2 linked regions of the Caenorhabditis elegans genome follow. The protein of the gene in region 1 interacts with the protein of each later gene in a biochemical or structural test. Each region holds a gene or a part of one and is shown in the gene's direction. Other genes may lie near its edges. The genes, in order: him-8 and chk-2.

Region 1 (4,669 bases):
AGATGGATTCTCATATGAACAACCAATTAATGAATATGGAGATAATGAATCGTTTTTGTCAGCAAAAAGTCTTTGCACTGAGCCCAGGAGTTCTATTTCTGAGGACGTGAAGCCGGTTTTGAAAGCTACGGATTCAGAAAGAACAGTTTCGATTGGGAATCATATCGTTGATCATCATCCAGTCATAGAACTGTCAACTGAGGTAGGATTGAAGAGATTTCCTTTATTTCTAATTTGTAAATTGTCGCAACATGATGAGATTTTCGTTTTTAATTGAATATTTTGCAGCATAATACCATGGGAGAGTTTCAATATGATTTCGATGATGAGGATACTGTGCTGATCGGAAATTATGAAGAAGTTGGAACAGAAATTGATGAGGCAGAACAGCAGAATGAGGAAAACAGTGAAGATGATGAAGAGGATGAGAGCCCGATTCCTTCGACGAAAAAAGTTTCGTTTGCTGTTCCAGTTGTCCAACGTCTTAACAAGCGAAACGAGCAAATGAATAAAAATCATATTATTAAATGTAATTTCGAAGTAAGTTCCGATCTGAGCCATTTCTTAGGGAGGATGTTCAGGAAATATGACAACATTTAAAAAAAAGAAGCTATTTTCAGGGTTGTAAGCAAATTCTCTCGTGGAAACTTCGATACGGCAAACAACGACTTCTGGATCATGCAATGACTCATGAAAATGAAAAGTGTCTCGTTTGTCGCACATGTGAATACTCTTGCAGTACACATCCCCAAATGAAGTATCACTATCAAAAAATGCATCCAGAAGTGAGGTGTGATGGGTTTAATATTCAGAAGTAAGCCGTCAATTGTTCAATAAATTATATAAAACACGATTATTTCAGAGTGTTCAATATCGAATTTGATGAAGTGGCGATTTTCGATCTTTTCCAAAAGTGCTTCGGAGGTATTAGACAGATATGAAATATTGATATTCAATGTGTAATTACAGCACATTCTTCCATCATCGGAAATATTGGGAAACCGCGGAGATATAAAAAATGTAAAAACTCGCTGAAAAATACTCCAGAAGTCGACAATGAGAATGTAGATAAAGACTCTCCAGGACCATCACACGATCTTTTCTAGTAGGTTTTTCCATATACTTTATTTTATTCTGAAGTTTAGTTTTCGCAGAATTCGCTGATCGTCTTTCGCTACGACTCTGCACAATGTGTTATTTGTCAACTCATGTAACATTTGCAATGTTTTTTAGTAATAGTTTCATTGTTTTGTTTTGTTTTTTGTTTGTTATTGTCGAGATAAACTTATAAAATATGTTTTTCATTAAAAAATAACTTGTTTTGTAAATTTTTTGTCCGCGAGTTTTTCATCTATAATACCTTTTTTGACTATTAAATTCAGTTCTGTATATATGTGATATCACTAAATTTTAATATACCTTCTTAAAGGCACACGGAGTTATTCAGATGGGCATCGAGGCGCAAAAAGTTTATGGTACTTTTCTTTAACTTTTTCGGCTGCTTCATTCCTTTTTTAAAAACATTACTTCGTTTTTTGCTAATTTTCTTATTAACTTTGCATTTTTCTGTTAAATTTTTTTAATATCCTTCTTCGTGTAAAACATGCATTTTTGATCATAAATGTTAATTGTACTATGGAAAAAACTGATCTAAAACAATTTTAAACAGGAAAATGAGTAGAAAACGACAAACTTCGCTAAAAACTAAGTGATTTTTTCTTGAAAATACAAGAAAAGCGTAGCAGCAAAAAATTGAAAAAAAACCTAGGTTTAAACCTATTTACCATACACTTTTTGTGCGGCGAGACCCATCGGAAAAAATACGAGAAGGCTCGTCAATATCTTGTTAAAATATGAAAATTTTCTAATTTCAAAGATGCATGCCAGATTATTATGAAATAACAGATGACATGCATGTAAATGGGTCTTCTGGCACGATATGGTGCAGCAACAGCAGAATGAGGGAAAACTAGGCCCTCGTGTAAAACGAGATTATTTGTTTTTAATTTGAATATTTAATGCTGTGATTCCCTTTATTTTTGTTGCTCGACCCTATTTAAATGTTTAATAATTATTTTTTCAGATACGATAAATGAATGGAAATTCTTTAAATTCGTTTGTTAATATCAGAATCTATGGAAAAACTCTGGAAAACTTGAAACATTATGGATTGATTGAATATTTGGTAAGCCTATCTTTTTTTCATTGCTGAGTATTCGTTTTTGAAACTATTACGATTTACAGAATGAATTCGCCGGTGGCAGCTCATTTGTTTCCCTCACCGAGAGCACGTCGATATCTTCAATCAACACTGCTACAGTCGATACTCCTCGTTTCTCCACTCCAATCGTTCCAAACGTAGGATTATATCAAAAATTCACACTGAATCTTTCGGAAAAAATATCCGAAATTGGACCGAACGACGAGAACGAAGATTTGAAGGAAAGCTATGATCAAGAACCAGAAGAAGAACTAAATAGTTCACATGAAAGTAATAATAGTGTGGAAAAAGTTATGGATATGATAATCGAAGATGTTGTTTCCAATCATACGACGAATATTGCAGATGGAGACGAGTACGTTTTTTTTTAATACAAAATTTTTTTTTCAATAATTTAAACTCTTTTAGCAGTGAATCTTAAATTACGCTGAATATTTTCTCGTAGTCCAAATTAAAAATTCATTCACTTGTTTTTTCAAAGCTTCGAACCTGTTTTAGACATTACCCATATGCAAAATTTTGTAATTTTTACCCTAGAGATCGATTTTAGTTTAATTCAAAAAAGTGTGCGCCTTTAAAAAGTACTGTGGTTCCCAGATTTTTTTTGTTGAATCATGTATATTAAAATACATCAAGTTTTGAAGAAACGGAGGAAAAACTAGGAAAAATTAATGCGGATTCTGCAAAAACAAAGTTAGTAACTACAGTACTCCTTAAAGGTGCATTCTTTTGAACCTGAAAAAAAACGGTTGCCGAGAGACCGGGTACCGTTAGTCACAAGAATTTAAATTTCGTTTTTTTTTCAGTATTAATTCGCCGATTGTATCATCTGGACAGTCGGAGTTTCTCCAAGACGGTGTAGACAACGATGGAAATATTGATGATTATGAAGAGTATCAGTCATTACCACCGAATGATGATGTTATTATGAATGAAACAGAATTGATGGATGTTGATCGAACCACAGTGATGACTCCATTACGAAGTCCTACATTTTTCGATTATCACAACGAATCCGGTGATGAAGATCAGTTGAATGAGAATGAAATGAAATCTCCAGACAGCAAAAACGACGAGATTAATAAAGATGAAATCCACAATATTCAATGTCATTTCCCGGTGAGTTAAATTTTCTGTTTGTTTTTTTCCATTACCTGGATTGTTGCAGAACTGCAATCGAGCAATTGCGTGGAAGAGGAAATATGGAAAACTTCGTCTTATCGATCACGCATTGGTCCATTGCGATAAAAACTTTCTGAAATGCAAAAAATGCAAGCACACTTGTCATACAATCCGTCAAATGCGTTATCACTATCGCATTTTTCACTCAACATCAAAAATGGAAGGCTTCGGAGTGTCTGGGTAAACTTTCTGAAATTAAAATATTTCAACAAATTGCAAATTTTTCAGCTTGCCAACCAAAAATAAAGGATTCCAAAAAATTATGAATGCTTGTTTCGCAGGTAAGTATCAAGTTAAAAATTATAGTTTTACATCCATATGGTTTTTGATTTTTTAGATTTGCTCTAATTTTTAAATTTTTAAAATCTTCTTGATAAAAATCGACTCAAAAAATTCATTTACTGTAGGCCAAATTGTTCAATTTAATTTCAAACATGGATTGGAAACTGAAAATTCTGTTTCATAATTCAGTTGAAAGTCAATTGTTCAGATCAATTGGTCGAGATGAACAAACGAAAAAATCCTCCAAAATCTCAAAATGGCAGCCGCCGTAGCCGGGTCAAGTCAAAGTCCAAGAGAAGTGGCATCTAGAACTTTGCAAGTTCACAGCCGTTTTATTTTGTAAATATCGGCATATTGCATACTTCATACATTATACATGCCTACAGCACGAATCTCGAAATTTTAATATAATTCGGTTTATGTCATATTTCTACAAAGTTTGTGTCATTAATAAAATCTTATTGATAATCAGCTCGAGATTAGTAAAACTTTGGCTCAGAAAATGGAAATTTAAGATCTGGCGCTTCAAATTGTTTAAAATGATATAAATCTCTACAATCAGGTAATACAAGGGTTAATGAATAAAATTCTTTCAATGCTGTTTGATGTTCTCACAGATTCCTCATCGTACTTTTACGACAAATTCGGCGCCTAAAGCGTCACGATACCCATAAAAAGACACACCGGACCTATAAAAACTTCTTCCTCCACCACTTCTTTTTTTCGATACGAGACGCGCTCATAAAAACGGATATTCATCATTATATACACAGAGATGAAGCAATTTTTTACCTTCTCTTTTTTTCCATTATTTACCGGTCTTATTTTTTAATGGAAAAGTTCCCCCTCTTCGGTCAACTATTTCGATAATCGCTTCATTTATTATAATTGGAGTGAGCGTAGTGAGGCTGTTGCGGTTCAATTATTATGAGCGACCGGCGTGAAAATGGATAGGAATTTATGATGAGTTTCATGTCGGCTCTT
Region 2 (4,949 bases), on another chromosome or scaffold:
TTTGAACTTTTTTCGAAATTTTTTGAAAAATATCGAATTTTCCCAGTTTTAGATCAAAATTTACGGTTTTAAACTAGAAAATTTGAATTTCCCATTCAATTTCACCCCCTGACCTCAAATTTCAGCTCATTAGTGCAATTTCCCGTCAAATCAGGTGTCAAGTCCGCAAACACCACGCTACAGTAACCCAAGACACCAGAATTGACGCGAAATTGCACTAAATCTCTGAAAAATGAGGCTTAGGGGTTTTTTGGCACGGAGAATCTGAAAATCGACTCGAAAATTGAAAAATTCAGAGTTGAAGTCTAGTTTTTTTCAAATTTTCAGAAAAATCTCGAATTTTCCTAGTTTTAGGTCGAAATTTGCGGTTTAAAACTAAAAAATTGGAATTCCCCATGCAATTTCACCCCCTAGCCCCAATTTTCAGCGTTTTAGTGCAAAATTCCGTCAAATCAGGTGTCAAGTCCGCAAACACCACGCTACAGTAACCCAAAACACCAGATTTGACGCAAAATTGCACTAAAACGCTGAAAAATGGGGCTTGGGGGTAGATTTCCGCGGGAAAGTTGAATTTTTAGGTTTTAAACTTGAAAAATTAACGGAAAACCAAAAAAAGTTAGGATTTTTGCAATTTTTCGGGAATTTTGTCGAAAAAAGGGGGTTTTGCCCATTTTTCTTCAAATTTTTCGACTTCTTCTCCGTTTTCTTTCGAATTTCTTCGATTGTAGCCAATTTTCCATCATTTTTGGCGCTTACAGCAGTGGAATCTGGTCACTGTCCTCCTCATTGACCTCCAGAAGCCACCCAAATCCACTATTCTCCATAAATTTTCCAGCGGCTCCAGCATTAGTACGACGATAAGCCTGAGCTGAAATTTGTCCAGTCGGGCTTGAAATTGAGCCGGAATCTGCAAAAAAAAATCGATTTTTTACGGAAATTTCTAGTTTTTTGGCCTAAAAATTCAGATTTTTCGTACTTGGCGCGTTAGATGACTGGTCCGGGTGCTCAAATTGCTCGAAATTCGACGAGTAAAAGCCATTTAAGTCGATAGAGACCTCCGGTTGCTTGACTCCAGTGCCCGGGTAGTCCATTTTCACCAAATTCTGAAAAAAAAACGGGGGTTTTAGGTGGTTTTCAGCGATTTTTTCGAGAAAAATATGAAGAAAATTCAAATTTTCGACAAATTTCATGCAAAAAATCCATTTTAAACAGGTTTTTACGTTAAAAACGTTTTAAAACCCGGAAAAACTGAATAAAATCCAAAAATTCATTGAAAAATTACGGTAGTTCTTAAAGGCGCAGTACTCGTTATCGATGGGTCTCGCCGCGATTTTAATGTTTTTTTGTGATTTTTTAATTTTTACTCAATTTTTGCAAGCTTTGGTTGTTTTTTTCACGATTTTCAAAAAACTTTACAAAAAATTTGAAAAAAAAATCGACTTTCCTATTGATTTTGAGTCTAAAACCAATGAAAAAGTCAATAAATTCGTTAAAAAAACTACGGTAGTTTTTAAAGGCGCAGTACTCGTTATCGATGGGTTTCGCCGCGTCTCGCCGCGATTTTCGTATTTTCGTATTTTATTTAGGATTTAGTTGTTTTTAATCGAATTTTCGCGCAATTTTCTTCGTTTTTTTCGCAATTTTCTCCATTTTTTCGCAATTTTCTCCATTTTTTCAGCGATTTCCATGGTTCGCGGGACAAAAAGACGTCGGAGCTCGGCGGAAAAGTAAAAAATCACCAAAATTTGCCCCAAAAATCGCAAAAAATTCAATTTTTTAGGCCAATCGTGGTGGTTCCGGTCACCCGAGACGACACGATGCCCGTCGACGAGGATCTTGTCGTCGGAGAATCACAGTGTGCTGCTTCAAAACCCTTCGCGAAGCTTGTCGGCGTCCGCCGAGGCATTTCTTCCATCGGTTTGTCGATTTTCCCGCAATTTTCACGAAATTCCGGCTAAAAATCGATTTTCCAGACTTGGCAGACGATCATTTCGTGTGCGGACGCGGCTCGGATGATGCTCCGACGAATTTCAACTTTTCTCAAGTCGCCAAAGACGTCGGGCTCTACAGATTTATCTCGAAAATTCAATTTTCCATTGATAGAGTAGTTTTCTACTGAAAAATCGCCAAAAAAATCAATATTTCAGGACACAGAAACGCGTAGAATCTATCTACACGATCACTCACGCAACGGGACCCTCGTAAATCAGGAAATGATCGGAAAAGGGCTGTCCAGAGAGCTAATGAACGGAGATTTGATCTCTATTGGGATTCCAGCGCTGATCAGTGCGTTTTTGACGATTTTAAAGCTTTAGGGTAAAATTGCCCAAAAAAACGGGTTTTTCCGCCAAAATCCGTCGATTTTTCCCAAAAAAACCCCGAAAATTTGCAGTTTTCGTGTACGAAAGCGCCGACGCCGACCATCATCCGGAGGAACTGACGAAAAAATACCACGTGACGAGCCATTCGCTGGGAAAAGGCGGTTTTGGCAAAGTTTTGCTCGGATACAAGAAATCCGATCGATCAGTGGTACGGGCGGCGTGGGAAAATGCCGAAAATTGGAGAAAAATCGATAAATTTCCAGAAAAATCGATAAAATCTCCGAAAATTGTGAATTTTCGCCAGTTTTGGTGCATATTCAGCCATTTTTTTTGCTGATTTTCACCTAAAAACCGCCAAAATTTACCGGAAACTTGTGAAAATTCAAATTTTCCTCTGAAAAATGCGATTTTTAACTGGAAAAACACATTTATCGATGAAAATTTGCCGAAAACCTTGAAATTTTCACGGAAAATCGATAAAAACCCTCAATTTTTGTGGGAAAAATCGATTTTCAGCCATTTTTTCCCGGAAAAATCATCAATTTTTCATGTTTCAGGTGGCTATTAAACAGCTCAACACACAATTTTCGACAAGATGCAGCCGAGCAATCGCTAAAACTCGAGATATTCGAAATGAGGTTGAAGTTATGAAGAAGCTCAGCCATGTTAGTAATACACGAAAATTGCTGAAAAATCGATTTTTACACGGAAAATTGCTGAAAAATCGAAATTTTCCGCATTTTTCGCTGAAAATTCACGAAATTCGATCAAAAAAGCATAATTTTAAGCGAAAATTGAAGTAATTTTGGTCAAAAATGCTCAAAAATGAGAATTTTCCAGTTTTTGGGCGCTGCTAACACTACAAACTACACATTTTTGGGCGCTCCTAATTCAATTTCAATGGTTTTTGGCCTATTTTCGAGCCATTTTTCACTAAAATTATCGATAAAAAGTGATTTTTCGCGTTAAAAATGCTCAAAAATGCCATTTTAACCCTAAAAATTCTAATTTTTCAGCCAAATATCGTTGCAATTTACGATTGGATCACCGTCGCCAAGTACTCATATATGGTTATCGAATATGTCGGCGGAGGCGAATTTTTCTCAAAAGTCGTCGATTCCAAGTACAATCGAATGGTAAATTGGCCGAAAAAATCCCGAAAATTTCCCTAATTTTTCCATTTTTTCAGGGTCTCGGTGAATCGCTCGGAAAATATTTCGCTTTTCAGCTAATCGACGCGATTTTGGTAATTTTTAGGTAATTTTTCGTCGCTAAAACCGCTCGTTTTTTTTCAGTATCTTCACTCTGTTGGAATCTGTCATCGTGACATTAAACCCGAAAATATTCTGTGCTCGGATAAAGCGGAGCGGTGCATTTTAAAGGTGAAAATTGGCAATTTCTTGGCTCAAAAAAGCTGAATTTTAGTCAATTTTCACCCGAAAAACCTCCAAATTTGCAGCTAACCGACTTTGGAATGGCGAAAAATTCGGTGAATCGAATGAAAACTCGCTGTGGAACGCCGTCTTATAATGCGCCGGAAATTGTGGCGAATGAGGGTGTTGAGTACACGCCAAAAGTCGATATGTTAGTAGAATCATCGGCAAAAATGACTTAAAAATTCGGAAATTTGAGCGAAAATCACTCTAAAATTGTGAAAATCGATAATAAATTCGAATTTTTCGTGGAAAAATCACTAAAATCGATGGAAAATGAAGTTTCTCCACAAATTTTGGCAGAAAAATTGAAATTTTGAGCCAAAAACTACGAAAATTAAAGAAATTTTAGCTTTTATGCTGAAAATCGGATAAAAATCCCATTTTTCAAGAGATTACAGCCGAAAAAAATCAATATTTCCCCGAATTTTGTCAGTAAAAATGGAAAAATTGGAAAAAAACTATCAAAAAAACCGGAAATTTGGTCAGAATTTATTAAAAATTCATGTTTTTCACAATTTTTGACTAGAAATTGCCCAGAAAATCTCAGTTTTCGGTGGTTTTTCACCGAAAAATCGAGTTTTTCGATGTTTTCCCTTCAAAAATTGGAAATTTGGCAAAAAAATTGAGATTTTTCATAATTTTTCACGAGAAAATGCCAAAAAATCTAATTTTCAGCCACAATAATCGAAAAAAAAAAGATTTCCGACGATTTTAGAGTCAATTACACATAATTCCCCGGTTTTTTGAATTTTTTTCGGCGAAAAACTCTAATTTTCAGCTAAAAATCGATAATTTTTGGTGAAAATGAATCAAAAATGGAGATTTTCGTGAAAAATCCGATTAAAAACGTGTTTTTTTCAAATTTTTCATCGAAAATTCGGAAATTTGCTCAAAATTTGGCTAAAATTCAGTAAAAAAACCGTTTTTTCCTGGAAAAATGAGCCGAAAATCAATAATTTCAGTGGAAATTTCAGAAATTTGTGTTTTTTTTAATCAATTTTCAGTCGAAAAATGGATATTTCCCGATATTTTGCCACTGAAAGCGGAAAAATTGGAAAAATCTCTCAAAAAACCCGGGATTTTGGTCAGAATTTATTAAAAAATTCAGGTTTTTCATAATTTTTGACTAGAAATTGTCCAGAAAATCTTAAATTTCGACGGTTCTTCGCCGAAAAATCGAGTTTTTCGGTGT

The links.
Region 2: of the proteins of him-8 (region 1) and chk-2, one has a biochemical effect on the other in vitro, tested with the Caenorhabditis elegans proteins (one study listed by BioGRID).

Annotation. Positions count from the first base shown.
Region 1 is NC_003282.8:10,559,822-10,564,490, forward strand, and holds him-8 (C2H2-type domain-containing protein), read left to right. Parts: upstream 1-2,083; 5' UTR 2,084-2,092; coding exon 2,093-2,185; intron 2,186-2,244; coding exon 2,245-2,576; intron 2,577-3,027; coding exon 3,028-3,340; intron 3,341-3,389; coding exon 3,390-3,583; intron 3,584-3,631; coding exon 3,632-3,684; intron 3,685-3,893; coding exon 3,894-3,994; 3' UTR 3,995-4,153; downstream 4,154-4,669. Other genes in the region: zim-3 (C2H2-type domain-containing protein), read left to right, coding at 1-202, 289-540, 621-814, 863-924, 970-1,105, 1,146-1,164.
Region 2 is NC_003283.11:19,912,711-19,917,659, reverse strand, and holds the start of chk-2 (Serine/threonine-protein kinase chk-2), read left to right. Parts: upstream 1-1,636; 5' UTR 1,637-1,686; coding exon 1,687-1,727; intron 1,728-1,780; coding exon 1,781-1,917; intron 1,918-1,973; coding exon 1,974-2,104; intron 2,105-2,147; coding exon 2,148-2,286; intron 2,287-2,392; coding exon 2,393-2,529; intron 2,530-2,878; coding exon 2,879-2,986; intron 2,987-3,337; coding exon 3,338-3,457; intron 3,458-3,510; coding exon 3,511-3,567; intron 3,568-3,616; coding exon 3,617-3,703; intron 3,704-3,780; coding exon 3,781-3,905; intron 3,906-4,949. Other genes in the region: Y60A3A.19 (Protein YIPF), read right to left, coding at 757-907, 977-1,091. UniProt on the Caenorhabditis elegans protein: Serine/threonine-protein kinase which is required for checkpoint-mediated cell cycle arrest, activation of DNA repair and apoptosis in response to the presence of DNA double-strand breaks.